Schizosaccharomyces pombe: one gene and its partners. Changing the gene in region 3 together with the main gene of any one other region gives a genetic interaction. Each region holds a gene or a part of one and is shown on either strand. Other genes may lie near its edges. The genes, in order: res2, rad13, rad2 and rad9.

Evidence for each region.
Region 1: mutations in rad2 (region 3) and res2 together harm fitness more than expected from each alone (negative genetic interaction), as found in Schizosaccharomyces pombe (3 studies listed by BioGRID, with this or other methods).
Region 2: mutations in rad2 (region 3) and rad13 impair growth when combined (synthetic growth defect), as found in Schizosaccharomyces pombe (2 studies listed by BioGRID, with this or other methods).
Region 4: mutations in rad2 (region 3) and rad9 together harm fitness more than expected from each alone (negative genetic interaction), as found in Schizosaccharomyces pombe (3 studies listed by BioGRID, with this or other methods).

What each region holds. Positions count from the first base shown.
Region 1 is NC_003424.3:684,951-693,061, reverse strand, and holds res2 (MBF transcription factor complex subunit Res2), read right to left. Parts: upstream 6,528-8,111; 5' UTR 6,470-6,527; coding exon 6,238-6,469; exon of another isoform or gene 6,074-6,237; coding exon 4,332-6,073; 3' UTR 3,883-4,331; downstream 1-3,882. Other genes in the region: mitochondrial aspartyl/glutamyl-tRNA amidotransferase subunit B-related Aim41, read right to left, coding at 1-213, 337-495; atp20 (F0-ATPase subunit G), read right to left, coding at 1,078-1,209, 1,259-1,356, 1,406-1,532; ATP-dependent RNA helicase Rok1, read right to left, coding at 2,134-3,579; glutamate-cysteine ligase Gcs1, read right to left, coding at 6,792-8,111.
Region 2 is NC_003423.3:2,670,456-2,679,725, reverse strand, and holds rad13 (DNA repair nuclease Rad13), read left to right. Parts: upstream 1-3,156; 5' UTR 3,157-3,368; coding exon 3,369-6,707; 3' UTR 6,708-6,736; downstream 6,737-9,270. Other genes in the region: methionine aminopeptidase Fma1, read right to left, coding at 1-508, 569-614, 664-684, 737-853; SPOM_SPBC3E7.09 (Sad1-UNC-like protein), read right to left, coding at 1,130-3,109; SPOM_SPBC3E7.07C (uncharacterized protein), read left to right, coding at 6,982-7,029, 7,075-7,086, 7,148-7,175, 7,219-7,273, 7,329-7,552, 7,691-7,767. UniProt on the Schizosaccharomyces pombe protein: Single-stranded DNA endonuclease involved in excision repair of DNA damaged with UV light, bulky adducts, or cross-linking agents. Essential for the incision step of excision-repair.
Region 3 is NC_003424.3:5,386,327-5,393,699, reverse strand, and holds rad2 (FEN-1 endonuclease Rad2), read left to right. Parts: upstream 1-2,277; 5' UTR 2,278-2,438; coding exon 2,439-2,451; intron 2,452-2,520; coding exon 2,521-2,611; exon of another isoform or gene 2,612-2,788; intron 2,789-2,796; exon of another isoform or gene 2,797-2,992; coding exon 2,993-4,031; 3' UTR 4,032-4,114; downstream 4,115-7,373. Other genes in the region: erv1 (sulfhydryl oxidase), read right to left, coding at 1-12; SPOM_SPAC3G6.07 (uncharacterized protein), read right to left, coding at 1,050-1,427; SPOM_SPAC3G6.05 (Mpv17/PMP22 family protein 1), read right to left, coding at 4,305-4,377, 4,447-4,544, 4,609-4,680, 4,737-5,114; RNA-binding protein Rnp24, read right to left, coding at 6,708-7,373. UniProt on the Schizosaccharomyces pombe protein: Structure-specific nuclease with 5'-flap endonuclease and 5'-3' exonuclease activities involved in DNA replication and repair.
Region 4 is NC_003424.3:1,711,109-1,718,655, reverse strand, and holds rad9 (checkpoint clamp complex protein Rad9), read left to right. Parts: upstream 1-2,939; 5' UTR 2,940-3,119; coding exon 3,120-3,224; exon of another isoform or gene 3,225-3,277; coding exon 3,278-3,611; exon of another isoform or gene 3,612-3,668; coding exon 3,669-4,282; exon of another isoform or gene 4,283-4,338; coding exon 4,339-4,566; 3' UTR 4,567-4,736; downstream 4,737-7,547. Other genes in the region: bfr2 (traub family ribosome biogenesis protein), read left to right, coding at 936-945, 988-1,035, 1,082-1,181, 1,243-2,443; ribosome biogenesis protein rlp7, read right to left, coding at 4,873-5,499, 5,717-5,839; rpl13 (60S ribosomal protein eL13), read right to left, coding at 6,816-7,442. UniProt on the Schizosaccharomyces pombe protein: Acts in DNA repair and mutagenesis. Involved in promoting resistance to ionizing radiation and UV light, as well as regulating cell cycle progression after irradiation. Repressor of entry into mitosis that is activated by chromosome breaks.

The DNA of each region.
Region 1 (8,111 bases), 4.7 Mb from region 3:
TTAAATATTACTAGCATGTTCAGGTAGGAATTGTCGTAAAGTTTGAATCTGAGATTCTTCTTTTTCCGCTAGATCAAGACGCTCAGCCTTGCGAAACTGTTCAATAGCTTGTTTACGCTTTTTTATGTTTTTTTTAAGTACTCGCAGAACGTCTAAGTCTGTAGTAACTGGCTTACTCGACTTGTTTGCATATTCGATTTCCGAGAGAAATACCTAAGCTTGTTAGCGTCATATTCATCTACAAACATAGATAACATAGTTCTGACAGCCTCTTCACATTGCTTGAACACTGATGCAATTTAACATGTAGACCGTCACGTTTTATTTCCAACGTACTTTTAAAGTAGACGCAACATCTTTTTGCCTAGATTTCATGGAATCCAGCAATTTTTTACGAATAACTGCTTGAAGATTTGGGATTGCTGAAGCGTTAGCAAATAAATGACTATTCCTAAGTTTGCTTACATGTACTATTATAGCGTAAGTATTGTACATTACGAATAGCTATCCTTGATGTGTGTACTAAGCGTTGATTAAACATTGAATTCTTTTTCTTGGATTATGTTTTCAGGTCAGACCCAAAAATTCCCCTAAAGGTGGTGTAGCGCAGAAAGTATTTGGTAGTAGGATTATCCCATTTTGTTTGGAGATGTGGAAACTAAAATATGCGAAATCGCTCATTGACAGTGAGGTAACTCCATCAATTTAGCAATATTTATTTATTAGTACAAACTGATTTTAAGATTGATTGCGAAAATGAGACATTTGCTTTCGGTAGATTTTACAATTAAATTAATGGTTATTCAAAATCAAAATTGAAAAACAAGCAATACAGTGCCGGGTAATAACACTTACGCCTACAATTAGGTCCTGCTACCTAAGACCTATAATTTAGTTTCCCTATTAACAGAAATGCTTTATAAAGACCTCATCTTAATATGTTAACAAAAGATAGTTATTAATAGTCTCATTTATTGAACAGCCTGGTGTATGTTGGAGACAAAATGAATTCGCAGTAGTTGAAATGCATAAGTATCCAGCAATCAGAAGCTTTTATGAAAGATTAAATTCATCTTTTTAATGATATGGAGTAATTTTTCTACGACCAACCATCTGGCCAGCGCAGAAAATACCAACTATTTCAACTGCGATGAAAAAATTGCGGCCCCATGCTTCAGAGGATTGACTTTTCCAAAAAAGGAAGGGAGACTAAAAGAGAAATTAGTGGATCTGTTCTTTGTAGCAAATAGTTGCTTACATGAGTATTGGAAGGGGGTGCAATTTTTTGAGAATGATATACTTGTTGAACCAGCTCTTTCGAAACATTTGCCCAGTACATAATAGGTTGTTGTACAGCTAAATTGAAAAAGTTAGTTAAACAAATTAACCGTTATGTTTAAAATACCCGATAATTTTTGGATTAAGGGAGTGAAACGACCCTTGGCTTGTTCAGCAACTGTTTTAGTAGAGTAGTGACTCTTCCTTAAAAAATTGTAATTAATACGAGAGATAATTCGACTTGTGGAAAACATTATACTTCGAAATAGCCTGAATTGGAAAGAGATGGGATTCGGTAAGTTAAGGTTGTGATGAAGTTTCTACTCCCATATACCAATTAAGTAACACCAATTTTTCTCCGTTCATAGGTAATTTCAATGATACACAATATAAAGTAAGTTAAAACAATATAATATTTACTGAAACACACTCGTGATTTCGAAAACGAGAAATTATAAAACAGTGTCAGCAACGTAATATAGCTTTCAAATTGTAGTTAAAATAACAATTGCAAAAACCCTGTTGGGTACTTAAAATAAAATAATCTCCTTGTACCTGTTTACGCCTACATTAATTGTACTCGTGTAGATTTTTATCAGTTTTAAAAAGCCGTACAGCACTTGCTGCATTATTGTTAAACAAAAGATGTAAAGTTAGATATGTCAGGTACCACAGTAACATAAAAGTTTCTTACCACAAATAAAAGTAAAAGAAAATAATATGATTGCTAAAAAATATAAGGCTCTATTATATCAAAGCAATAGTATTTTGGAGTGAATATGACTTTTTTAAATGAACACAAAAACTAAACTAAAACCCAAAACCCTTTATATAAATACTTTCAGTAGCAACAATCTATTGTCCACTGTCTCCAGTAGCTTCATTATGCTTTTTGATAGAGGCTTCTTTTTTTACCTTCTTAATATACTCCTTCTTACGCTGTTCCTTTTGTCTGTCGTAAGAAGCTCTAGTAGTAATCCTCTTTCTTTTAGGAGGACTCTTCTTCAACTTCTTTTTCATTTCTTTACTAGGTTTAGGAAGTGCCATAACCCAGTTTGGAACCTCGCAACCTGATGAACGCATTACACCAGCAATAAGCTTGATATATTCACCATCTTCCTTTGTAAAAAAAGTAACGGCCTGTCCTGTATTTCCTGCACGCCCAGTTCGACCGATACGATGAATATAACTATGAACACTTTGAGGAAAGTCAAAGTTGATGACCATCTTTACACCATGAAAATCGATACCACGAGCAAGAAGATCTGTTGCTATTAAAACCCAAATTTCACCCTTCCGAAATTTCGCAAGTGCTTCTTCGCGCTTGGCTTGTGGTAATTCTCCATGAATGACACCAACGTGAATTTCATCAAATAAGAGTTCTGTGTACAATGCTTTCGCTCTTTCTATATCTTGAACAAATATTACGACTCGAGGCTTTAACTCTCCATTTGAAATCATTTGACGCAAAATCACAATTTTGGAAGTATCCGAACCAACAAACAAGAGTCTCTGATCGATGCTATCCGTGGCTGCATCTTTCAAACCAACGATGATTCGAATCGGATCAACCGTTACGACTTTAGCTAACTCTTCGACGCGTGATGGAATAGTAGCGGAAAAAAGGCTTTTACAAATATTAGAGCTGGTGCATGCACTTAGAATATGATCAGTTTGTTCAATAAAGCCAGGCTCAAAAAGTCTATCAGCTTCATCCATAACAAAGAATTCTACTTTTTCAAAGGACAATCCGGTTTGTATTGCTTGTACTAATCTCATCGGGGTGCCTATGCACATGTCATACTTTTCCCGGAGCTTGGGCGCTTTTTCTTGAATTTTTTCATTAGATTTACTTAATTCAATTATCTTCAATGAAGTTCCAAAAGACAGCTTTTCTGCCTGTCTATATATTTGCTCGCACAGTTCTCTAGTCGGCGCTACGATAATCGCTCTATATCCACCCGGAACATGTAACTGAAGTTTTTGCAAAATTGGGAATAGATATGCAATAGTTTTTCCAGAACCAGTTGGTGCACATGCCAATAGGTCTCGTTTAGAACCTATCGTTGGAATGGCATATCTTTGAATTGTGGTACATTCTGTTATGTTTTGTTTTTTTAAGTTTTCACAAAGTATTCCTTCCGGAAACTCTTCAATTGGATCAACAGGATTATTACCAGTAACTTTAGCTTTTCCCTTAGTAATACCTTGTAATTTTTTTGCTTCTTTTTCTTTTATAGAAGGTTGAGGTACTTTATTCTTAAATTTGACATTAGTTGTCAAAAGTTTCAACGCATCCATTTCCTTATGCAATACTTAATTATCAAAGTTAAAATATTTTAGTAGATATTTCAACGAAGGAACAAAAATAAAAGATTGTTGAAATTTTCAATTATACATATACACGACTAAAGTAAGTATGGTAGCTGCTGGGGAAAGGCTGCACTAACGTCCTCTAGTTAAACCAGTACGTTAATTCAAATTGTGTATTCCAACAGCGTTATTAAATTTATGTATGCTAAGTAAACATAATAAATGTATTCAAAAAAACGCGATTTCTGCGTTTATAGGTTACATATTTTTATATCGTATTTACGAGAAATACTGCTATAGATTTTCTTTCAATTAAATAATTGATTATTTGTATTAATCACTCTTTTACCTATTTGAACAGGACCCTCAAATTAAAGTGAAGCTCAGTAACTTGGTATCCTTTAGATGATCATTAACGTGCGAATGCAAAAAGGATGAATCATGAATGGAAGCACGCGCTGTAAATGAGATAAATCATTTTACAATAGTAGATTGTTTTAGCTGCGCATAAATAAGTAACATAATAGTTTTGTTAGGAAGGAGCAATATATGTTTTTTCCACTTGATTCCATTCGAAAATAATATATAAAATAACTCGTGTTTTTCTATCAAAGTATGATAACGTTGATAAATGCAGTTTGACAGTGAGTGTCATGGATAAAATCATTAACTATCATAACTCGTATCATTAAATAAAGAACGTAACATTAAGACAAGATGTAAATGAAAGTTTCCAAGATTCATTTTTCTCGGGTTAATGCTTCTTCCACAGCATCGAGTATTTCCAAACTCAAATCTTCAGGGTTGATGCCACAACTCATTGCAATAAGACGACGGTAACTATTAACTGTATCATCAATTCCTAGTTCTTCATACAATTTTCTAATATACAAAGTATCTTTTTTGCGGGAAGCTTGGAGAGAAGTTAACTTATTAATTAATTGCTCATATTCATCAGAATTGGTCACGTTGTTGCAAGCCGGCTTTTTAAAATCGTTATTTAACGAAAGTCCGTCTTCCTTTTTTAAAAAGTCGGAAGGAAAACTAATAGATAATGAAGTATGTGGCTTGAGGCTTCTCTCTAAATCAAAGATTTGTCGTGCTTCCAACCATATTAGTAACCTCTTCGAAAGCTGCTGGTAAGTTTCTTGGGCCTCTCGAATCAAGTTTTCCATAGATTGACTATAAGTGGGGTTATTTTTCTGCAGAAAGGTCAATTCCTGATAAGTTCTGGAAATTTCATTAAGCGTGTCTTGCTTGAGACGATTCGCTCTAATCAAATCTTCTTCTTTTTCTCGAAGCTGAGATTCATACTCCTCTGCTAATTGAGAAAATTTCGAAGATATTGAAGGAATTGCCTTAACAAAAGCATGCGATGAGCATGATGGCGAGATAATAGCAGGGCTTATTCCGGAAAATGAAAAAGCACTATGCGAAGCATTTGAGTTTGACTGTAACAATGAATGTGGCTTTTTGTCAGCTTCCAAAAGATACTCGGAAGCTGTACGTCTTTGTCGGTTAGGAATAGAAGGATTGGCGTTATAACTTAATAAAGAGTTTACACAATCCATGGCTCCATTTCGAGCAGCAATTAATAGAGAGGTATCTCCATTTGAATCTTGTAGATTTACCAATCTCACAACATTTTCAAATGGTTGAATCGATATTAGTTTCTCTAATATGCAATCCAAATAGTATTTGGCCGCTGCAACTTTTGAAGGAGTTGAGGTTGATTGCACAATATGATGAAAAATTGACTGACCATTGGTGTCAACAGCATAAATAGTAGACTGGAGAAGCTCAAGCACTTGTCCAAAAGTTTGGCAGTCATAATTATTGGTAAAGATAACACTCCTCATCAATGGTGTTTGACTCAGTCTGTTACACACGCCAATGTCAGCATTGGCTCTCAGTAATAACTTAATCATCTCTATATGTCCCATTGAGCATGCCCAATGAAGAGAAGTGTGGCCATCATCATCAATAACACTGTTAACTTGAAAATCCGGGGGCGGCGAATACAGGAAGGAAGGAATGCGTCCCTCTTCTGGGTGAAGAAAGAAGTCAAGTAGTGACTCTTCATATTTGTCAAGCGGTGCCTCCAACATGCCTAACTCTTCAACAGGTTTTATAGTGTTATCATTTGGTGATAGCAGTGCATTAGGAGACGCTGGCAGAGGTGTTGCAGAAACTTGCTCCTCTGCACCAGGCAAATTCACTTTATTCATAGATGACTCAATTGTTGGTGATATAGAAGAATTCGGTTGTTTTTCATTGACGGAATGCAAAGTGCTACTAGAAAGTGACGACGGTTTACGGCCTCTACGGCCACGTACAGAAGGCTTTTTCTGCTTGGTCTGCTTCTTCTTTGGAGCAATTGCTTTTCCCTCATCAATGTCAAGACTCAATATTGGGCTCATTATTCCGTCAACCTTATACTTTGTGGCCAGGTCGACCCCACGCTGAAATGGAACCCAAGTTCCTATAGTTTGGTTAATACCGTCAATCATTTAGAGGACGCGTCCATAGAGATATTTAATACAAAAAGGTATTAAAATACCTCGATTTGGCTTAGTAAACACTCAATTGTTCGCGTTGTTCAAAGATAGCAAATCATGTCACAACGCGTAACAGTAGACAACTTACCCTGATATTTTCCATATCCACCTTGTACTTTTTCATGCGCACCAATCTGTACTTGTCTTTCTAAAACCCTTGTCCTTTGTGGTTTGTCAAAGTCAGCCACTTTCAAGATTTGTGTAGCATTCAACCAGGAATCGCGGCGTCTGCGCATCACAGAGACACCTTTAATAAAGCATTCATAGACTTCAACCCCAGAATAAACGGCAACATGTACTGCGGAAGAACGTGGAGCCATTACAGCAAAAGGCAGTTAAAATGCGTAGCGCGGACTCTTAAAAGGGTGCATGCATTGCGTTCGCTCACCCTACCTGCGTATACACATAACAATAGGGAAGGGTGGGGCAATACAGAAAATCAACTATGTAGTTACTGAATATATATTAGCACTAATTAAATAATGAGTATTCACTTAATGAAAGGAATCAATGGGAAGTCTCAGTTGCCAAAGAACTACACTTGTAATACTGAATTGCAAAGGAATTTAAATTACCAAAATTTTAGATATGTTATTAAGTAGAAAAAAATCTTATATATATTCCACTCAGAATTCATCTGCATTATGAGCATTTTCCAAGTAACGTATCGTCGTAGTCGCCATCTACAATTTTTGCTATTCTTCTAATTAAATCATAATTAATTTCGTCGTTGACCACGCTGTCTTGCTTATAAGAAGGATGAGTTGTAATGAAATTGCGTATCCACGAAGCAGCAGTCAAGCATTGGCCATTTGCTCTTTGAGAAATTAGGCGAATATAACGTTCAATTAGGCAAATAGTTTTGGCATCAGGATTACAAGAGTATAAATAGCTTCGAACAATGGTAATTAAACCTGGGAATCCGTTTTCACGGTGCTCACCATTAAATAACTCGTCAATTGTAAGTTGACGGAACTGACCAGATTCATCATCAGTACTTGCGTCAGGAAATGGATTGCAACGGAACCAAAACTTTTTACGATGAATGGCATCACGAGCATGAGCAGCTTTCATGTTTTCATCCACTAGCGATATCGGCATGTACAGATTCAAATTGAAGGATAGAATTGCACGAGAAAGCATCACAACAAAAATTGAATATGCCGCATTTTCAAAATCAGTTATTTGAATTTCCATTGATCTAAATTCTACACGCCAACCAATATCACTACCTGGTGGAGGAGGTTTAAAGCGCATAGATTGCCAGTTAGTTGAGTTTAGGTTCTCAAAATGAGCATTGGATACACTGTTGTCTTGTAAAATGCTGTCACTGAAAATAACCAAAGGATCACGAGAGAATATGTGAGCCATGTGCTTAGCCAATCTTTCATCAATGCAATCTTTTATTAGCTTATCGTAGCAATCTTGATTTATAACGACCGGGACGTCATTATATTCCGGTAAATTGCGCTTGTCATTCGAGATATATAAGTCAACAGAATCATACCTTGATTTTGGCACAGTTTTCATTTCTTCCTCGGTTCGATCATCGACAGCACCAGCAATCACATTCCATCTACAATCTTGATCAGCCAAATAGCCTCGAAATGCTGGAGTTCCGGCAGATAATGCCAGCATCAAGGGGGTAATAGGAGTCAACTGATCGTATAAAAGTCTAGCTTCATCACAACTTTTAGCTTGGAATGTAATTTGTAGACAACAGCATCCCATACCGAAACCCATACTGTCCATGTAAATATGATTGTCTAACGCTGCACCATCTCGTGCATTTGCATCTTCAGGAAACAAATTTCTATCCCAAGGAACGGTAGGATCGTGAAATGGTTTAATTGTATTTTTATCGAAGAAAATCGGAACATTCATGGCCACTTTTCTCCCGCGCCTTTGACGAATATTAGCAGTCAAGGTCGGGAAACGAACATGTGTGTTGATAACATCGTC
Region 2 (9,270 bases), on a different chromosome or scaffold from region 3:
GCTTTATCTCCAACATAGTAAGTCTCATTTAGGTCACCATGAAAACCGTTATGGTAAAGGGAAACATCAATGTTTACAATATCACCATCCTCAAGTGGCCTTTGATCTGGAATTCCGTGACAGATGATTTCGTTCACAGAAGTACAAACACTTTTTGGGAACGCGTAATAGTTAAGGGTGCTTGGAAAACAATCACGTTCAATGCATGCATTATGAACAATACTATCAAGTTCATCGGTAGTTGTTCCAGGACGGACGGCAGCAGCGGCAGCATCAAGTACCTCTCTACCAAGTCTACATACTTTACGCATACCTTCCTGCTCCTTGGGTGTCAATCTCTTCAGTTTGAAGCTTCGACCTTCAATTTGCTCGCTACGAGAGACTCCTGTCTTCGCATAGTCAGGTCTTTTTATATGTGGAGGAACCTTGCGTATAGGCGAAAGCGGATAAACTGGTTTCAATGAACCTGCGAAATGAAATTTTGGGAAAGGATTGTAAGTTCCATCCTCTGATGAACAAATTAGAAAAACGCTTGAAAATAAAAGCTATATACTTTTGTTGTACGTACCTCTCTTTTCTACATTCGGTGGACGATGAAGATGTTTGTGAATATTCTGGATTACCTAGTGTTAATTTACGTTACACGAAATTTTCTTGTATTACCCAGCTGTTCCTGAAGCATTCCTTTTTTTTTTTGAATTAGTAAATACGTAAACTAACAGAAAAACTAAATTACCTGTCCACAAAAGTAAGATTTAACTCCGTCATTTAGACATTTGGGACATTGCAGTCTGTCAGCTTCATTATTACAATCTATACCGCAACAAATATGTTTTGCAATTTCAGTAGCCATATAAATACTTTGTCTTAAGGGTATCACTCGCCTTAGTTTCTAGACTCGAGAATTTCTAGTCACACTAGTGCTTCGTAGCCGTGAAGTACATTAATGTCGTTGGAACCTATATAACCCAATGCCACTCTTTAAAGTTATGATTTTTGCAAAACTAAAAAAATAACTTTAATATATGCTTTTCAGTTTTTAAATAAATAATTCATTTTTCTAATTTTAATATGAATTTAAATCATTAACTTATGAAAAAATATGGAAGTTTCACAATACATTCTATGATTAGCATACTGAATGGCTCCTAGAATGTATAATTTTATCTTGTTCTCTTTCGTGTATACTGCGTATGCTGGTATTTGGATCTCGCTTTTTTCTTTGCAGTAGTTCAGGTCCAACGGTATAAACCGCTGAGGAAGCGCTAACGCGAAAATCGTTGGCCTTCGAAATATCTTGCTCGTCACGTGAAAAAGGTGGTCTTGAAGCCTCAATAGGGTTGTTTGAAGATGAACGGGTTGTTGGCAGATTTTCTGGAAGCCTCGATACGGCCATATACACTGTTAAAACGATTAGAACCGTGAGTTGAAGCATTAAAAGTCGCTTTTGAAAAGATGATTCTTGATATAGTGAAGTAATTTGACTCTGAAAGTATTCATTTTCTGCAGAAAGAAGCTCAAGTTTAGCTTGGAGAGCAAACAAAGACGGCTTAACGACACTTTTCGACAATTTCGAAATTTCTAATTGAAGGGTCGAGTTCAATTCATGTAATAGCTGCGTAAAATTCATGTTTTTGGCATTGTGCTTACCATAATTTGTTAATATTTTTTCTACAATTTCATCAAATGCCTTCTTCCGTTCTTCTAAGGTAGAAAGACGCTTATTTATGTTTTTGTAAATGCTTTCCTGATTAGAAGGAAAGGTAGATATTTGAGCGGTACTGTAAGAAGATGAAGAAGATGGAGAAATATCGTTAAAAGAGCGAGTTGATGTTGCAGGATATGATTCACTTTTTCCTGTTTCATTTCCTATAACAACAGTGCTCAAAGACTTAGATATCACAGTAGAAGAAAGTAAGGTGTCTGTACTATTCAACTCGACTGATGGATTCTTTCTCACTGGTTTGCTTTGAACATCGGTATCTTCTTCGTCCACAAAAATAGGACTTTCTTGAGGCTTCCGGATTTCATCTGCTTTAATAGCGCTTCCGTCGTTCACTTTTTGTTCTAAGAAGTCTTCATTTGCTTCTTCAAATTCTTCTATCATAGTTTTTCCATAAACCCTAAGTAGGCTTACAGGACAATAAAATTCTGACCCATAATGAGTTAAAAACTCTATTTTAAGATACTTCGCCCAAATAAGAGGGTTCTCAATATGAAAAGATTGAAGAGTCCTTAGGTTTAAGGCCGTAAATGTACCCAATTCCATCCAAGAAGACTCGTATTTTGGATATTTACCGCTTACACTGACCTTGAAATCACGAAATATACTTGAAAAAAATTCGAAGTTGGCAATTTGAACTGTATCGACATAAATATCCTCACAAAGTTCAATTACCACGAACTTGTTTTCAGCGGAACATTTGTTCAGCATATATTTGTCTTTGTTTTCGGTCAGAATCGAAGAAGATCCGACTGCTTCAGGATTTGTTTTAATGACAGCAGCAGCGCAGTCAGTTGAAGCAAAGTTGAATCTTTTTTCTTCTGAGAATGCAACAGTCTTTTCATCTATATTTGAATCAATTGTAGCTGCTGCTGAAGTAGAGGAACCATCCTCAGAAATTGGTAGAGTAACCGAAGAACTAGTAATAATATTAGTATCAATAACTTCCGTTACAGAATAGTTTTGCTCTAGCTTCTTTGAGGATGAAATTGTAGACGTCTCGTTCACCAATGGTGGGCTAATTGAATCTATAAATTCGCTAGTACTTGTTCCATTGGAATATTCATATTTTGACAAAAAATTAGAAGAAATGGTATCACTTCCATTCAAACTCGTTTTTGTGTGAAACGAAGGTTCCTGGTACTTATTTGTGGGAGTGAAATCCCATGTTGTAGGGTTGCTAGCTTCTTTTTCTTCAGATTTGGTAGCAATCACAGAAAGGTACGCATCACATACCAAATTTTCGTTATGCGTATCTGGTGACTTCAAACACAATGCCGGATATTTACACCAATGACTCGTTTGTGGAGAGCAGCAGCATAACCGAAATATAATAAAATAAATTAAAAAGGCATTTCCAAATGCAGACAATCTTCTTTTGACCATATGATTTAGGCAGCCCTATCAGTTTAATGTGGTAATTGGCTCAAGTCAAGTGCCACACACTAAAGTGTTAGCATCAATCATCGCACATGCCCTTGTTTTATCGCTTTGTTGGTAAAACATGTCTTTTATAACGATTTTAATTAAAAAAGAAGAAAAAGGGTAAAGAAAAAGGCTTGCTTTAATCACATTTCTTCGTATAATAATCAAAAATAAAGTCGTCTACAACGAAACTTCTTGACATCGCATATAATATTTTGCAATGGGGGTTTCAGGTCTTTGGGATATTTTAGAACCGGTAAAAAGGCCTGTCAAGCTAGAAACACTTGTTAACAAACGGTTGGCAATTGACGCTTCAATTTGGATTTATCAATTCTTAAAGGCCGTACGTGACAAAGAAGGAAACCAGCTGAAAAGCAGTCATGTTGTAGGATTTTTTAGAAGGATATGCAAACTATTATTTTTTGGGATTAAACCTGTATTTGTTTTTGATGGAGGAGCGCCGTCATTGAAACGCCAAACTATCCAAAAAAGACAAGCCAGAAGACTCGACAGGGAGGAAAATGCCACGGTCACGGCCAATAAACTTCTGGCTTTGCAAATGAGGCATCAGGCAATGCTTTTAGAGGAAAATAATAAAAAAGCTACTGCATTGGCAAATGCCTCGGTTCAAAATGAGAGACAAATGCCTTCATCTATGACATTGGATAATTCAGAAATTAAGCCAGTACTTAATCAAAGAAAAAATTATTTGAAGCCTGATCCATACCAACTACCTGAAATGGACGTTTCGTTTGATAAGTTAGGGTCGAGTTACGACCCTCGAATTATGTCCCAGGATGAGCTTACACAATATGTCTCTAGTTTTACTAAAATTGAAGATATAAATTTATTTGATTTTTCAAATATTGATTTTGACTCTGAATTATTTCAATCATTACCCGATACGGATAAATATAGTATTTTAAGTGCAGCAAGATTACGCTCTCGTTTACGAATGGGTTTAAGCTCTGAACAACTTTCCGAGATGTTTCCTAATAGAATGGATTTCTCTCGTTTTCAAATTGAGAGACTGAAGGAACGTAACGATTTAACTCAGAGATTAATGGACTTTACTGGAATGAATGAGTTTGGACCCTCTAGAGTAGTAAGTGAAAAAAACCGAGAATATATTTTAGTAAAAAACGAAGGTGCTGAAGGTGGATGGGCTCTCGGTGTTATCTCAGGATCTACAAACAATGAACCTATTATTATTGATGATGAGGCTACAAAACTTAGCAGCAATCTTATAGACGAAGACGAGGATGAGGCATTCTACGATGTGCCTTTACCTAGCCGATCTCATAGCATGAACCCTAGAGAATTGGTAGCCGCTAAATTAAAGGAAATAAAAGAAAATTCATTTTCGGAAAATCAGCAATCAGATGAAGCAGATTATAATGTTACTGATGATTTAATACTTCAATTAGCAACCCAGCAATCTCTAGAGGAAAACAAAAAATCAAAAGAGCTGTTTAGTCTTTCGGCTTCTGAGTTTGATAAGTTGAATAGCGAGAAAAAGACGTTTGAAATTTTGTCGACCGATATTCCTGCAGAGGATTCAATGAATTCACTTCTTAACGACGAGGAAAATTTGAAACTTGAACATGTTGGAGATGTTTCCAATGATTCATTAGCATTCGCGGAAAAAAAGCATCCTGAAAATGGGACTTCAATTTTTATGGATGCCCTTCCATCTGCGAGTAGAGAGAAAAAAACCAATGATTTAATTGATCCTTTACCTTTTCAGCCTATGGATTGGGGAAAGTCTATTTTTTTCGAGAAATTAAAGAAACCAACTGAAACATTTATGGATTCTAAAACTGATATACCAAGTGAGGCACCGGATAATTCTAAACTTGTGGAAGATACAAATTTACATACTATTAATGCAACAGTTAATATTGAATCCGATTTAGACGCTGCTAAACCTGGAATTGAAAATCCAATTATTTCACCTCTTCTTCCGGTAAAAGATGATGAAAAAGATTTAGACTTACGTGAACTCAATCCTTTGGAACCCTTTGAGAATATGAAAGAACAAGCTGATGATGGCACAGTTACCAACCCATTAAATGTTTCTAGTGATAAGGCCATGTCAGTGTATTTATTGAGCTCCGAAAATGCTAAGGATACTGGGGATATCAAATCCGAATCAATTGACGCTGTTCTTCCTACTTTAGAGACCAGCAGCCCTTCACTTAGCATTCCAACTGACTTTCAAAAAGAAGCCTCTCCAAATAAAGGAGCTGCTGCCTTGAGTTCGAAAGTAGAGCCTGAAGTGGTTGAAAAACTTTTAGATGAGGAAGAAGAGGAAATGATTATCAGGATGGCAGAAGAAGAAAAGGAATATGATCGGTTTGTTTCAGAACTCAATCAACGACATGAAACTGAAGAGTGGAATCAAGAGGCCTTTGAAAAAAGGTTGAAAGAGCTCAAAAATCAAAAAAGGTCTGAAAAACGTGATGCGGATGAGGTCACTCAAGTAATGATTAAAGAATGTCAAGAACTTCTGCGTTTATTTGGCTTACCATATATCGTTGCTCCTCAAGAAGCAGAAGCCCAGTGTTCTAAACTTTTGGAGCTAAAGCTGGTTGATGGGATTGTTACTGATGACTCAGACGTGTTTCTTTTTGGTGGAACTCGGGTATATCGAAATATGTTTAATCAGAACAAATTTGTCGAACTCTATTTAATGGATGATATGAAAAGAGAATTTAATGTGAATCAAATGGATTTAATTAAGTTGGCACATCTTTTGGGAAGTGATTATACTATGGGACTTTCTAGGGTAGGTCCAGTTCTTGCACTGGAGATTTTACATGAATTTCCTGGTGACACTGGACTTTTTGAATTTAAAAAATGGTTTCAACGTTTATCAACTGGACACGCATCAAAAAATGATGTTAATACGCCAGTAAAAAAGAGAATTAACAAGTTGGTTGGAAAAATTATTTTACCATCAGAATTTCCTAATCCGTTAGTTGATGAAGCTTATCTTCATCCGGCCGTGGATGATAGCAAGCAATCGTTTCAATGGGGCATACCCGACCTTGACGAGTTACGCCAGTTTTTGATGGCTACTGTGGGTTGGTCAAAACAACGAACTAATGAAGTTTTACTTCCGGTTATACAAGACATGCATAAAAAGCAATTCGTGGGTACACAGTCCAATTTGACTCAGTTTTTTGAAGGTGGTAATACTAATGTATATGCGCCGAGAGTTGCATACCATTTTAAGAGTAAACGGCTTGAAAATGCTCTTTCATCTTTTAAAAATCAGATTAGCAATCAAAGCCCAATGAGTGAAGAAATTCAGGCAGACGCAGATGCATTTGGTGAATCTAAAGGATCAGATGAACTACAAAGCCGTATTCTTAGAAGGAAGAAAATGATGGCAAGCAAAAATTCCTCTGATTCAGATTCAGACTCTGAAGATAACTTTTTAGCAAGTTTAACTCCGAAGACGAATTCTTCTTCAATTTCTATTGAGAATCTACCTAGAAAAACCAAGCTTAGTACTAGCTTACTAAAAAAACCCAGCAAAAGAAGAAGAAAATAAGTTTAATAAATTATTTATTTATTTGTTTACTTAACTGGTTGTTCCTATAAAAGAAGTTACTGTAATTTTTTGTTGAGTAAATTTTTTTGAGTTTTCCTGCTGTAACTGTGTTTAGACAAAGTAATTGAGCAACATAGCTTATATTTTGTGATTTATTCGTGTTTTGATTATTTACAATTTTTCTTGCTCTTTGTTACCTTACCTAATGTCACTTTCTACTACAACCTACTTAGCAGCAGTAAAGTAAAAACGGAGAAACAGAATATTTTTCGAAATGTTAAGTACAAAAATTGATGCGGAAAATGCGGAAAATGCCGCCGAGGTAAGCCTTGGTTATTATTTATTTAATAATACTTACAGATTTTAGATTGAAATGCAGGTACGTGGTTGTAGAAAGTATTTAGTTTTGGTAAAGCATGTACTGATTTAAAAAATTTTAGTTTGCAGTAAAAGCTGTTGAACAGGCTCGTAAGTTGAGCAAAATATGATGGAATAAAAAATAACAATTTAGAAATATACTGGAGTCTTTTGGAAATGCGCAAGGGAAGCGAGTTAAAGCTGACAAAGTAAGTATATATTTACATCTTTAATTTAAAGTTCAAATTGCTTACTATTGAATAGATACGATGATGAGATTTTTGAAGATTTAATAAACACCTTCCCCGAGTTTAAAGACCCTAAAACAGCTTCTTTTGTTAATGAGGATGAAATGAAGTCCGCCAAAGGAAAAGCTGCCTGGCGTCCATTTTTAATGCGCTATGAAAAGAAGGTTGACGATTACAATTTTGGTACTCTTCTTCGTATTAAGAATACTGATGAGTATGAGCAAGAAACGACTATTTTTGGTATGTACTAGGAATCAAATTTAATGGTCTAAGAAACATGGCCATTTTTTAAGTGCCATTTTTTTAAAAAAAATCGTTTATGCGATCCATGAATTTCCATATTTTAATGTTCTATTTTATTTAGCTAACAAGTCTTAGTCCCTCGTATGCAATTTTTGGCCTACGAAATCGCCCGTAATAGATACGGTTTGAACGATTGGATTAAAAAAGATTAGACCTTGTTAATAAATATTACAACTCATCCAAATTTTTCTGAAGGAAGTATTTGTACAAATGATTGCTCCGTAGTTAGATAACATATACATTGGTTTTTCCTAATGTACAATTACAATTCAGAATAAAATCAAAACAAGTGGATGAAGGTCATATTTCCTTCTCTTATAAACGTATATCAAACAAAATTCATAGTGCTTGAGTAAGAAAATGTTATTTTTTCTAAAGTTACTAATTGAGAATTGTGACAAGTAAACAACAAAACCAAAGAGACCAGATTTCCTATGCTAATCAGAGTGATGTTTACAATTAAATCCGTCCTGATTATTCGACGTTTTTTTTTTTTCTAACAAAGTGACTCACAACTTGTTTAGATTTCTAGATATTGTGTAAGGAAATAATTTTTGCTAAAAGTAAACACTTTAAAGAAATGATACTAATAATATGAAGGACTGCAAACTTTATATTTGAGTATAATAATTCTTATAATTATATGAGAACAAAGTGCATAGATTTACTTCAGTGCAAACACAGATATAAAATTGTGTCGAGCTTTATGTTTCTAACTTCTAATAGCGAATCTTTAACCCATTGAGCATTTCAATTATGTAGCACTATTTCATACGTAAGGGCTGCATACTTATTAACTATTTTTTTTCAGAAATCTCAACTTGAATTTTACTAATTCATGTATTTACAGTTAGCAAGATGCTTCTTTTTTTTCGTAATCATTTGAGATGTAAGACGCCGGTTAAGAATTTGTGGGATAAACAAAAGAAATTACGAGGACCACTTACTTAGTCTATAAGTTGATTTTGCCGACCATAGTAAAGGTAACTGCATAAAATTATTGGTATTTAATTCTACCTTACAGAATCTCGAGAATTACTATATACTTAAAAAGAATTTCATGTACTTTTTCTGCAAAATAATTACAAAATATTGATGAATTTATTACTGGTCAATAAACCACGAATCAGTATACCCACTAAAAGCAAAATTTCGGTTCGCTTGTAAAAATAACAAAAAAAAAATATTATTATTAATAATAACAATGAGTTTCGAAAGTTCAGAATTCATTTGAACGAAACAATTGCGTATTTAAATTTCACAATTAAGCAAAATACTTGAAGTTATCAACAAAGGGTCCATTCTGCGTTTCAGGTGCATTTCATATTCTTTGACTTTTTATGAAGCAAATGCGAAGTTACACAGAAGCAACTATTTTTCAAGCAAGTTTGTTTGAGCTCACACCTAATTTGAATATATAGATTAGATATAATTTGTTCATCTTGTAATTTTACTTATAGATCAGAATGCTTTGTTAAGAATATAATCATCTATTTGATTACAGATCCATTCAATGAGCAAATTAACTAAACATATGTATTTCAAAATTCAAACCCATATAAGTTAATAGTTTCAGTTAGTAAACCAAGTGATTTTATGCGACTGAAAAGGATTTCCGATAAATAAAAATTGGTAAACGCATTCATTTATTTCAC
Region 3 (7,373 bases):
TCCAAAAACCATTTTAACTTGATTGAGAAATAAGGAACGGACAATACCAAATTTTTACCTACAAATGATTCTGTCAGTAGCATTCGACAGCCAAATATGTATGATGCTCAATTTACAAGTTAAATTCATCTACTTTTAACCAAATAATTATATAACGTAGTACTTCAGCGCCGTTGATTACTAACAAAGGCATTTGAAAACACCACTGTTAAATATGGAACTGTTGCGAATTTCGCTGTTTTTCTTGTCCAAAGGCTTATGGCTTAAAATCGTATTTATTAAAACTTGTAATAAGCTAATTTGAGTTGTCTAGATGTAAACATTTATCACGTAAAACTAGTCCTTTAATAAATTGAAGATTTGAACTATAAAGCGTACTGTGTGAAATTAGGAAAGTATTATAAGTTTATCGCATAAAAGTTTGAAAACCATACCTAATTTTAGGAGCCAACCCTGAATTTATTTTTTTTTTTATTCTTATTTTTTTTTTTGTAAGACTAAACATAATACATTCAAACCTAGTGCATCAATAATCGAGAATAAAACTCGAATAACATTTTGAACCCTTTTTGCAATGAACAAGATTCATTCTTTGTAATCAAATGTAAATTCGAAAAGTAATGTAATATTAAGGAATGTTTCCTTAACTCGATTTGGGATCAACAAATAGAGGTTCAACTTTGATTATATCACTGTGCATACTATAACATGTATTTTTTTAAGTTTGTTTTTTCAAAAGGTTACAGATCGATTTACTAAGCTACAAAATTCAAAAAACTTAAAAAATTCAATACTTGCAAAGCAAAGAAGCAGAAAAAAAGATCCAAAAAAAAAGGATTACATTTATTTTGTTGAATTTATTATTTTTTTTAAAAAATAAATAACTTAACTAATGAATCACTATTTAGCAATTCTCTTTAGATTTGAATCCATAAAAATCATAACAATAAGCGAAGCAATATAACTGGTATTTGCTTATAAAATGAGCGATTCATGCAAGCAGAAAGTTCTTTAAAAACAAAAGAAAACATTAAAATAGATTTAGCACTTCACTTTGGCGTTATAATATCTCCATGTTTTTTTACATGATCACGATACACTCGATATGGTAAAACCAGTGTATACTTTGGCATAACAAAATCATCTCCAACAAACGATTCATCCTCAACATATGTTTTAAGAAATTGTAACACTTCGGTTTGATCAGCTTTAGTGAGGTCGATGTATATATACAACAAATATGAAAATTGGAAAATGGTATTAGCAGTTGCTTTATAAACCACAAACGATTGGTAATATTGTCTACCTTTGTTATAATAGTCTATAACATCAGGAATAACACTGTTTTTTTCCTTTTCATTAGAGACATCTTCTCCTTCGTAATCGGCAGGTGCCAATGTTAAGTATGGCGAGCTTTGTTCAGACATTGTTCTTGCTTTCACAGGTAAATTGAGGTTGCACTGGGATATGAGTATACTGTAAGCAAGGCGCGCAGCATCTCATATAATATTCTTTCAACGAGCCGACATTAACTAGAATTTGCCAACGTAAGATCAGAATGACGTTTTGATCCGCACGAAATACGTCGGTAAAGGAACCTTATTAGTAGAATATTGCAATATTGTTCGTTGTCTGCATACTACACAAGCGATACCATAAACTGGTTACGATTATATTTTCGACGATTCAGTAGCAGATATGGCGAGTTTCAAATAATACTCTCTTGGTAAAATGCCTATTATCCAACATTGTTCCATGAATCAAGGCTATTGTTCTATTAAAAATATTACGTTGAGCAATTCAAGCGGCTTTCTCACTACGGTATCTCAGTACCGTAAAACCACTGGTTTATTCTCATAAAAACAACCTTATGTTACACAGACTTACATCTAGCCAAGTCAATAGGGTTTCGGTAAAGTTCCAATGTACTTTTCATCCTATTCCTTATCCGGAAAAAGGAATCGATCATTTTTCCAGAATTTCTGATGGTACATTACCTTTTCGAGATCTTTTCGTGGTAGTAAACTGCGAGGTGATTTACATTTTACAGCCGTGCTGCCACCAAAACCACAAGAACCTCAATTTGGTAATCTTAAAATTTCTAATTTGTTCCTTCTAGAAATCCTTTTTTAAAAGCTATAATACATGGGAATTTTCAGTATAAATTGGCTGGTCCCTTTCCTTGTATTTACATTCTTTGGTCGATCATTCTTTATGGAAAAGTAACATGTGATTTACTGAATCGACTCTTTGACGTGGATACTACTGCTGGTAGCTAAGAACCTTTGTGTGAGTGAGCAAAGTAAAAACTGCTCGATTTTGAGGAGTATAATACATCTAGCAAAAATTGAAAATTTAATAAGAAGCTCTAAGCTAGTTTTGGAGAAAGCGTTGTTCGGGATCTCGTAATATACATAAATAAGTATATTTGCTAAACGATGGGAATTAAAGGTATGTTACATTTAACGCTAAAGAGTTTATCTTTTACTCTCTCCTTTACTTAAAACTAATCTGGGTTAGGTTTGGCTCAAGTACTAAGCGAGCATGCCCCAGCCAGTGTCAAACATAATGATATTAAAAATTATTTTGGACGGAAAGTGGCTATAGATGCGTAAGTTGAAAGACTAAATAGAAAGCGAAAGTCTCAGTTGACTTGGCAAAGACTGTATGGCTTCTGATTTTGTTTGTAAATATGGGTTAAACACTATGGTGTACAGTTTTTATTGCTAAAGAGCAAAGCTCTATGTCTTAACTCGAGACAAAGATATGATACAAACGAAATATAGAATAAAGGATGAATAAATTTTCACTAACAGTGACTCGGTTAAATTCATTGCTCAAGGTATTTTACATCATTTCTTTACTTTGTTGGTTCTTGAAGTTGCAAACACTAATAGGTCAAACTCTATTCAACTGATTCTTTCCTTTTCGAAGGGTTGATTTATAAAGTCTTCTTGAGGTACTTTATTAATGCTAATTTCGTATATTACAGGTCAATGAGTCTTTATCAATTTTTAATTCAAGTTCGCAGTCAAGATGGTCAACAGCTAATGAATGAACAAGGCGAGACTACTAGTCATTTAATGGGAATGTTTTATCGTACACTCCGAATTGTCGATAATGGAATAAAGCCTTGCTTTGTCTTTGATGGAAAACCACCAACATTGAAGTCAGGGGAATTAGCTAAACGTGTGGCCCGACATCAAAAAGCACGAGAGGATCAAGAGGAGACAAAAGAGGTTGGTACAGCTGAAATGGTGGATCGGTTTGCCAAACGTACGGTCAAAGTTACTCGGCAACATAATGACGAAGCAAAACGTTTACTAGAGTTAATGGGAATTCCCTTCGTTAACGCACCCTGTGAAGCAGAAGCTCAATGTGCCGCTTTAGCCCGTTCAGGAAAAGTTTATGCTGCTGCTTCTGAGGACATGGACACATTGTGCTTCCAAGCTCCTGTACTTTTGAGACACCTGACATTTAGTGAGCAAAGAAAGGAACCAATTAGTGAGTATAACATAGAAAAAGCATTGAATGGTTTAGATATGTCGGTGGAGCAGTTTGTAGACTTGTGTATTCTTTTGGGTTGTGACTATTGTGAACCTATTCGGGGAGTTGGCCCCGCTAGAGCCGTCGAGTTAATTAGGCAATACGGGACTCTCGATCGCTTTGTCAAAGAGGCGGATCGATCAAAATATCCTATTCCGGAAGATTGGCCTTATGAAGATGCCAGAAGACTGTTTTTGGATGCAGAAGTACTTCCTGGTGAAGAGATTGAGTTGAAATGGAAAAGTCCCGATGCAGATGGCATTATACAATTTCTGGTTAAGGAAAAAGGTTTCAATGAAGATCGTGTTAAATTGGGGATCAATAGACTAGAAAAAGCCTCAAAGACAATTCCACAGGGTCGTCTTGATTCCTTTTTTAAACCAGTCCCTTCTTCTCCCAAAAAACCTGTAGATACAAAGAGCAAAGGATCAGCAAAAAGGAAAAGAGATTCAAATAAGGGTGGTGAAAGCAAGAAAAAGCGTTGAAAACGAAGTCATGTAATTGTTATTAATCTAAAAAAAAAACTTAAAAAAAGCAAGACGCATGTAGATAAAACTATACTACGCTATAATAATAGTAAATCTGTTTAATGCATGACTTTTACGTAAAAATAATTAGTCTAAGGAGGTAATTCTGATCATATAAGCTAATAATGGTATACAAAACTCGTTTCTAAGTAATAATATGCCAAAAAACAATCTGGCTGATACAACTCAAAAAACGAAAAGCAGTGGATTCGGACGATGGATCAAAGATCTTTAAAATAGTTCAATTTCTTGTGAGCCAGATTCTTGCATTGAAGAAGCGTTCTTCAAACTAAGAAATATGTTCCTAATTGAAATTAGCAAAGGCGAAAAAACTAGGAGCAAAAATGCTTTATGTCTCTTGGAAACAACATACCAAAAAATAGCAACCGTACAAGCAAATGGCATTTGGTATTGTAAGGGCATTAGCCAAAAGTTCACAGTTTGAAAGAAGGGCCAGACCATATAATTAGCCTTTAAATGTTAGCAACAATACAACAGAACCATTTAAGAAAGAAAATTTAGAAATTAAGTGTACCTTTAAAGTGGGCCAGAAAACAGCTTGAAGTTTATCGTAGGCGCCCCTGAAACCTTTGCCCTCAGCAAGAGTCTGCGGTTTAGTGTTAGTATTGATATACATAAACATGCAAGTTAATTTTTACTTACCATCCAACTGAAAAAAAAGGCAGTACCGAATGGAGCAAAAACAGCTTGATCCAATAACACACGCTTCACGACATTAATAGCGCCTTTCTCTATTGGGAACTTAGCAGATAGCAAACGCAACCACCGAAATTGAAATGGAGAAATAGCAAAACCAAAAGTAACAAATTGAAGAACCCTTTTAATACTAGGTATTTCAGGATGAGTGTTTAATCTCACGCCATCCAAACCAATCATCGCATTTTTGTTTGTTTGGTATATGGTCAAGCCTTGGGCGACAGCATCGGATATTCCACCCAGTGTACCAGCAGTTAGACACATAGTCATAATCGGCGCCTTTTCAAAAAGAGCGTTATAGCGGGTTGCAAAACGACTAAACATAATGGATAATGAGGGACAAAAAACTCAATCAAAAGCAATTCAAAATCTAACGACCCAATGCTAGTATAAATAATAAATTTTATTTTCAAATTTCCTTTTTAGGATCAAAACTTCTAGTTTCTTTTAGTTTATATCACAAATTGATGTAAACTATGGAATTGCGAGAAGTGTTGGTAGAAAGCAGATTCGTAAACGTAATAGTGAAGTATATAAATGTTCGGTCAACGCTTTATGTTTTCCCTGGTTTAGATTTTAATAGTTGCGAAAAATCAATTTTTTTTATTTATAAAATTGTCAAGGTTCAGTGTTGCTCTACACTCACACTGTAGCACTTATGAAATTGTAACAGAATCATCCACACCTTCTGCAGTCATCTATTTATACTAATATTATCTCACTGTGAGATCTATAGCATCACTGTACATCTACAATTGAAAATTCGTTTATTGAAGAAGCGGGCCCGTGGGTGAAATTGTAGTCAAACTAGTTCTCTGCTTCAAGAATTTTTTGTAGCAAAAAAACAGCATTATACAACAAAAATTGACGTCCGTTGTCTCTTGAAGCAGGAAACAAGCTCCCAAATGAACAAAGAAGACGAAACAAGACAATCATAGCAGATCAATAGTCTTAGCGCCCAAAACATTTCCCACGCCCGAATTTGAAATTTTTAGGATTCTTATTGGAATTAAACAGTAATAAACGAACTTACTTAAACTGCATCGTTGTGAATAAGTCTATATTTTTTACTAGAAGACACTACATGCCTAAACTAAAAGTACAAAACAACGTGTGGAAGCTACCATAAACGAAAATTCAGACAAGCTAATCGTATAAGCAAGACTAATGTTTATATAATTTATTAATGAAGATTTATAAATATGCTAATACTTTTCTATTAAAGGTTAGCATACGTTTCAAATAAAAAAGTTCTGTGCAATAGCAATGTTCAGATAAATAAAAACTTCGCGTACTCGTCAATGTAAATACTCCGAGTGAGCTGGGTTTAACGAAGAAAATCATCATGGTAAAAGGCTTGCTTTTATTTGCAACTTAGGATTCGACATACCATCAATATTAACCTATTTATATTCAGACAATGAATGACTAAATCTTATGGTGTTGGTGGAGTTTACGAGGGCGCCGCCTATTTATACTAGTAAATGGGATATTAGGTTGTTAAAAGATATAACGAATAAAAAATTCAAATTACTAATCCAATCAGTAAATGTGACTGTTAAATTCGTAAACAAAAAAAGCAAGGCCATGGAAAATAAGTGACTGGTGGTCATTATTAGTTCATGGTCTTTTTAGTTGCTTTAGATAATTAATATGGGCAAAGATGCCATCATAAACAACAGCCACAAAAGGAGATAGTATTTCTCTAGTTTACCTTCCTACTCAAAAGCTTATCCACACTCATAAATACTAATGCAATAAGTATCAATATATGTGATACGATGAGTAATATGTAAATATAGCATTGCTAATTAAAAACTAAGACAATAAATGAAAAATATTTTATATTAATATGCCCTGACCCAAAATAGTTTTTTCTAAAAACGAACGTAATCGAGTATTCCTTCATAAGTTATATTAATCAAATTTAATTTTTTGGCCAGCTGGCTCAACAATAGCAGCGGAGGATCGCTGAGCCTTCGCTAATGCTGCACCGGGACGGACAGAACGCGGGTCAATCTTCCTAGCTCTCTTGAAGTTTGGTTTGTCCTCTTGACCTAAAGATTCAGCATCATTAAATCGACCAGAGCGAGCCATTGGGGACTTGTTCCTCATCCTTTTAGACCGATCTTCTCCGTATTCTAACCGCCAACTATTATGGCCAAGTTCCATAGCTTTCATACATGTGTCAATGTCTGGAAAATCAACAAATCCAAAGCCTTTACATTTGCCCGTATCCTCAAAGGTCATCAAGCGAACACGTCGAATTTGGCCAACTTGACCAAAGTGCTCCTTTAAGTCGGCATCAGTGGTTTCAAAATCCAAGTTGCCAACGAAAAGGATCGAGGAAGGCTCCTTCTTAGATGATTGTATAGATGCAGTTTTGGAAAGAGTGTTTGCTGGCTTGCTTGGTCTCCCAGAAAAATCTGTATTCGACTTGATCAAGATGTTTCTACCATTGAGAGCCTTTTCGGAACATTGAAGAGCTAGCTTAAGCGCATCTTCAGTAGCAAAGTCAACATATGCAAAACCTTTGTTTTGGAATCTTTTTTCTTTCGACATGGGCATGTGTATACGAGTAAT
Region 4 (7,547 bases), 3.7 Mb from region 3:
CTCATCGATTAATTCAAATTTTGATGTGTTAGTCTAATCCTGGATTTATTTACATGGGCAAAGATTTTTATCAAGGACAAATAGTATTTCAATGCCCAATTCATTTGGTTCCAGATTTTTTGAAAAACTTTTTTTTAAATGTTTTTATTTTCTTTCACATATACTCTGTTACCGATTCGATTTAAAATATTATTGAGCAAAAGCAGTATGCAAGGGTATTGGAATAATATTGACAAAAGCAAGGTATGAAACTTTAAAAAAAACAAATTAGATTTTATTTTATTTTTTTAAGTATAAGAGTTTACGTCTCGTTCTTTTACAGCAGCACCCCATTTTCGAATCGTATGTGTAACGAAATTTTTGAATTTAATTGTAAACATTACTTAAAATCAACACTGTTTTAAGATATTTTTTTGCTTTTTAAAAATAAGCAACAAGTTAAATAGAGACCGCTTTTATTGGAAACAGCAAGCATACACTTACCAAAACTCAACTCCTATTCTTATAACAGTTTTAGAGAGACATAATACTCGTTAGCATAATACACAGTCAAACAATAAAATAATAAATTGGTAATTGTTTAGTTACATTGTCTAGACAGAAAGAAGCAAGATGTGGGGAATTTCCGAGTTTTTACCTTGAGCTTTAACGAACAATTTTTAGCCCTTTAAAAATCGATACTTTAGTCGGTTGCATTCTCTACGTCGTTTTACTAATATAATCAACTCTCGTGCTGTGTTCGTTTTTTCAACTTTTGGTTGCTTCATAAAAACCATATTATTTATTTCAAACAAAGTAATATAACCTCGTCTGTACTAGCTGAATCCGATAAATGCCTTCAAACTTCATTCTTATATTTATTTCATACAATGATAATTTTGCTAACCCACACCCCTTCACTTACCCAGTCCCAGACACATCAAAATTTGCTCAAAATGGGTAAAGGTAAGTTCAATAAGATATTTTTAGGTTCTAATAAATCTTTAGTTTCTTTAAAAGATGAATTGGCAGGGATGCTAAACCCTCAACCGCAGGGTATGTTATTAACGAAAAATTCCGGGATTCTTACTCACATAAATAGAAAGAGACCCTGAAGCTTTAGAGGACGCATTCTCTGATAGAGAGGACTCTAGCGAAGAAGAAAACGATACCTTAGGGAGAGAACATTATGTTGATGTTAGGTATGTTCAAAATTTTTACTTTTGCGTATTTGAGCTTATACTAATGTTTCATATTTTATAGTGAAAGTAAATTACGCTCAAAACAGGCTCCTCAGTTAGACCCAAAATTTAAAGGAAGAAAAACGTCTCGCCAGGAATTACTTAATAGCGGTTCTTTAAACTCTCAATCTTCATCACCATCTGAAGAAGAAGATTCGGAGGAAGACGAAAATGATGCAGTTTCAGAAGATCACGAAAATTTTTCAAGCTCAGAAGCTTCATCAATTTCTGAGGAAAATGAAGATGACGACCAATCTTCTGCCATTCCTGAAAAAGACATGGATCGTTTAAAAAAGATTATAAATGGAGAGAAAAAGCTATCTGATCAAATTCGTACATCCGCCCTTGAAGACATGAAAAAGGGTTTAGCTTTGAAGGAGCAGATGCGTTTTTACGATAATGTTTTAGATACTAGAATCCGTCTTCAAAAAGGATGTAGTCAACTTCTTTCTTCCAGCAACCAACTTCAAGGTGATAAAGTAGAAGCCCGAGATGGTTTAGTATCTTTTATTCAACACACTTTACAGCTGAGGAAAAACTTACTTATTGACTCTGGAGTGGAAATTCTTGACAGTAGATCAAAAAGAAAAGAGAATCCTGTTAGTCTAGAAGAAATTGCTTTAGAAATGAATAACCTTGACGACTCTTTGAATGAGTGGAAAAATGATACTTTAACCAAATGGCATAATCGGGTTCAAGCAGTGCAAGGGATTTCGCAATCTAACAAATTCAAGGCTCTAAATCAAAGTATTGTTCAACAAATCGAAAATTCTATGATTAACAAGAAAGATTTGGTCGAGCGCACTAGAATTGATTACAGTGACCCTAACAACAAAACTTTCAATCCCGAAATTTACAACGACACGGATTTTTATCAATCATTATTGAAGGATTTCATTAATTCTAGAATGGCAGACTCTACTCGAGATGGCACTGTTCGTTGGATGGCTACAAAAAAGCAAAAACAGAAGAAAGAAAACGTTGATACTAAGGCATCCAAAGGTCGAAAAATAAGGTATCACGTTCATGATAAATTACAAAATTTTATGGCTCCCATTGAAGTGACTGTATGGCCGGATGAACAAACTGAAGATTTGTTTAGTAGTCTGTTGGGTCAACAATTAGATTTATCAGAGACAGCTAATGATACAAATACTTCAAACTTCGTGGAGAAGGATGATGAACTGATCTCTTCCAACGACGGATTTTCTCTCTTCGGTTGAAAATAAGCTTGTGCGTGTTGGATAAGCTTCACTATTTGTCTTTTTTTTAATATACGCAAGCTGTGCTAAACATTTAGGGTGCATGATTATTTTTACTTACAGTATATCTTTTTTCGGTTTTAAAAAGGGCATTCGCGGATTTTGGTTCTATTATAATATATTTCGTTTACAATTATTTAGGTTAATAAAAAAATTTAACATATATATGGTTACATAGATGGTCACAATGTCGGGCAATTACAAGTAATAAAGGGTTATCTTGGGCTGAAGGTTTTAGTTTTTGTGCACTTTAGTATTTTAAGCATAAAAGTATGTACGTTTATATGATGTACAGTTGAACTCTTTCTGCTGCAAATTAAAAGCAGCTATAAGTTTCTTCTTATTACAATTCATTGTGTATATACAGATTATTTTGCGATTGATGTTGGCCATTACACTTTCGTACAAATTTCGGCGCGCGTGTCTATACTAATATAAGTGCGTTAAAGCAGGTGCTAGAAAACACCACATTATAGATTTACCTCTGTATATACCAGTTTCAATTCTGTTTGTCAAAAATTGTCGAGATTTATTTACTTCTATTAGCATGAATTAAGAAATTAATCGTCATATCGACTAGAAACTATCGTTATTCGTTCAGCATTCGTCTACATCAATTCACGTACTGGTATATAAAATGGAATTCACTGTTTCAAATGTTAATCTTCGGGACCTCGCAAGGATCTTTACAAATCTTTCTAGAATCGATGATGCTGTCAACTGGGAAATTAACAAAAATCAGGTGTGTTGGAACTTTTTTCAAACCTTACTAAACATTGAAACTAATTGGTAAAGATAGAGATTACATGTTTAAATTCTTCTAGGTCAGGATTTAGCATGGTGACTTTAAAAAAGGCATTTTTTGACAAGTACATTTTTCAGCCGGATTCCGTCCTGTTGACGGGATTGATGACTCCTACAATACGTATTCGTACGCAAGTCAAGCCCATACTATCTGTGTTTAGAAACAAAATCTTTGATTTCATCCCGACTGTCGTCACTACCAATAGCAAGAACGGTTATGGCAGTGAATCTGCAAGCAGAAAAGATGTGATTGTCGAGAATGTTCAAATCTCAATCTCTACTGGTAGCGAGTGTAGGATTATATTTAAATTCTTATGCAAGCACGGTACGTAGTTTGTCCGTCTTATTATTTTATTTGCTCTACTAACGTTTATTCATCAAGGAGTGATTAAAACATATAAAATATCATATGAACAAACCCAAACTTTACACGCTGTTTTTGATAAATCTCTTAGTCACAATAATTTTCAAATAAACTCAAAAATTCTAAAAGATTTGACTGAACATTTTGGTCAGAGAACGGAAGAGCTTACAATTCAACCACTTCAAGAACGTGTTTTACTTACAAGTTTCACAGAAGAGGTCGTACATAATAGAGATATTTTGAAGCAACCTACCCAAACAACTGTTTCCATTGATGGTAAAGAATTTGAACGCGTCGCACTTAATGAGGGAGTCTCTGTTACCCTTTCTCTACGTGAATTTCGTGCTGCCGTCATTTTAGCAGAGGCATTGGGAAGCTCGATTTGTGCATATTACGGTGTCCCAGGAAAACCGATACTTTTAACTTTTGCAAAAGGGAAAAATTCCGAAATTGAAGCGCAGTTCATTCTTGCAACTGTAGTTGGATCAGATGAACAAGAGGTGTCATCTATGATGGGAAATAGATGGCAGCACAGTTCAACACCAGCTTCTCTGTTCAATTCAGTAGAGCGCAACAACTCATTGACTGCTGTAGCACATAATCCCCCTGGATCTATTGGATGGCAAACTGATGTATGTAATTCGGCTTTAGTACTAAGTACAATAATTTATTAACATTAACTTTATAGCAAAGTGACTCATCCAGAATGTTTAATTCTGCGCTTGACCGAAGCGACGAAACTAATGGCATTAAGGAGCCATCAACCACAAACGATGCTGGTCAATCATTGTTCTTAGATGGTATTCCTAATGAATCCGAGCTTGCTGCTTTTAATAATGATGTGAACGATGATGCCGAATTTGGACCAACGCAAGCTGAACAAAGTTATCATGGCATTTTCTCTCAGGAAGACTAGGAAAATCCTTCTTTGCTATGGTGTGTAAAATTATGAACATTTACAGGTGCTTGTGACAACCTCATAAAACACAGCACTCATATTATATAATGTACAATATTTATCAATAATTTAGTTTTTTTTAACTACAAAATTACCCTCATCATACGATACGTTACATAGTAGTTCTAATAAATCAATAAGATAGTGAATAATGTAACCCAATTAATTAAATTCCAATCCACGGCCTATAAAAAGTCTAATATACATTTTTGCATTTTCATCTGAATGCAAAATTTAAGTCATTACACGAACTCAAAGAAAGTTTTAAACTTGTTTCTTAATCAATTCGTTAATTTCTTCTCCACAATAGCCAGCCTTTCGACCCTCATTAAAATGTTTGACCTTTTTCTCCATCAAACTGTGTTTAACTGGAGTCAAAGTGAATGGCCATAAGAATTTAGTAACTTCCTTAAAATGAGAGCCTACATTGTAAATTTCATGAATGATATCTTCAATGGAAATAACATCATATTTGCCCAAGGCCTCCTCAATTAATGCATTATCAGAGAGAGCAATACGCTGACCATTGATCTTACCAAAGCCACGTTTATAAATGAGTTCACGAACAGAATGTAAATTGGGAATACCATACATAACATAAGGTTCGACGATTCGAAGCATTTGAGCAACGGCTTTATTATTTCGCACAAAAACGGCATTGTTAATTCGAGAAAGGCGTAATAAGCGCAGAACTTTGCGAATTTTAGGAGGCATATTCTTGACTCCGGCAATTCGAATAACGAAAAGAAGTTTTGTTTCATCAGGCACGAAAATGTCTCCTTTATTTTTCGCAGATCGATTTAACCTAATCCGTTCTCTTTCTCGTTGGCGGTAGTTATTAATAAAAGTCTCAGCCCTTTTGAAGGTTTCTTTACGATTTTTCTTCTGGGCCTGGAGTAAAATTAGTAAAATGTTTTTAACAATATATAAAAATTGATGAAGTCAAAGGTTTAAATTTAACCAATACAAAATATATGAATCAGCCGAAAGATGGTATTTTGGAGCAGCATCGTCGAAACTAGCAATCCAAGAGTGAAAGGTTCATCTTTTTCATATAAATATGTATATTATGGATATTTCAAACCTGTAGAACAAGCAATTCACATACCTCTTTTTTGGCAATAGCCTGCTCAACACGTTCTTTCCGAGTACGCTCATTGACCTTGCGCTTTTTTAAAAGCACCTCAGGTTCAAGCATAGTCTGTTGTACAACCGGTGCATCCTCCGCCATTTTATCGTCTGTTAGTAACGAGTAGAGGGCACGTTGGGACTATAGACAGACGAAAAATTATAGCTATGAAATGTGACTGCTTTAAGACACATAATGTTCTTCGTTACAATCCGCTAATAAGCGCAAAAAAATTTTGAAGCGATTTTCAAATAGGCTTTGAAATGTGTACTTAAAGGTAAAAAATGGTGTTTAAAAACTATGGCAAATTTAATTTGACAATATAACAAAAATTGCACAATAGTAGATTGCTCCTTCCATATCGAAGCATCTCTTTCTAATAACCAAGACCAAACTTTATCTAATTGACCTTGTACCATTGAAATTCATGTTTAAAAGATATACAAACGATTTTAATAGGAATATTATCAATGTTGAATGTAATCACCTGGTGCTCAAACTCCTCAGGGACGTGGGATATGGAGATGATAAATTTTGCACAACATTAATCGAAACAGTGCGAAAACACATGAGAAGTTGAATAATTGTATTATTAGCCCTTAACTTCTTAGGGTAGCCGTTTAAATGTCATTCATCCTAAACTGAAAAAAAAAATGTGACATTGATGAAATATAGTTTTCCACACGCAATTTATGTAAAATAATCATATACATTTATAAAAATCAGAAAGCAATTATTAAAAGGAAACAATTGATAAACACAAATTTACATATACTGTAAGAAAATGCATGAAAGCCCTTGCAATTCAAAATGAAATTACAAGGTTATTCTATCAATACGACTGTACGACTTACAAACTCAAGAGACTACAATATTTACCACGCTCTTAAACAGCCACCAATGTTATATGCAAATAGGAATTTTAGTGAAACTACTTAAAATTTTTTAAGTGAACTAGCTTCCACTTCTGCTACTGGATACAATACTGTTTGCGAATGTACATAAAAAGCTTAAGTTACCCAAATTCAAACAAAATATTTATACTCCAGTTCTGCCTGATCCATTAACTACAGACATTTTACTTCTTCTTAGCCTCGGCCTCTTCAGCACGCTTCTTTTGGAAAGCAGCGCGAGCACCGGCATAACGAGCATAAGCACGCTCGTTGCTAAGGGTAGAGAAAGCGTTGAAGTTCTTGGCTTCTTCAGTAATGGGCTTGGCCTCCTCAACAGCTTCTTGAGTGATGGGAAGAACAGCGGCAACATCAGTTTGCTCAGCACCAGAGACATCAGTAGCATCTCCCTTCTTGGGTTGACCAGCCTTACGGGGGAAAACAATCAAGTGAGCAAGGTAAACTTTGATGCGCTCAACGTTACGTTGTAAGGACTCCTCAGAGCGGTTGCGACGGCGGTGGTCAACGGGGATACCGATGGTAGAGGCAACACGACGAGAAACACCAGCAGCCTTGAGCTCCTCAAGAGTAAAACCACGACCAGCACGAACCTTCATGTTGTAGCGGATGGTGGGAGGCTTAACGGCGGGACGAATAGCCTCAACGGGACGAGGAGCGATCTTGGCAGCCTTGGTTTGACGAGCTTGACGACGACGCAACTTACGGCCAGGTTGGTTAAACCATGTCTTCACATAACGCTGCCAGTCCTTGTGGAAGTGAGCGTTGGGCAACTGTCCTTTAACGTGAATTGCCATGGTGGTTCAGGTGAGTTGGTGTGGAAGGTAAGTTGGTGCTCGGTGGTGAGGACTTTTTTTCGTAGTCAACACAAACGTGACTGCTTTTTTTCGCAACACTACAGT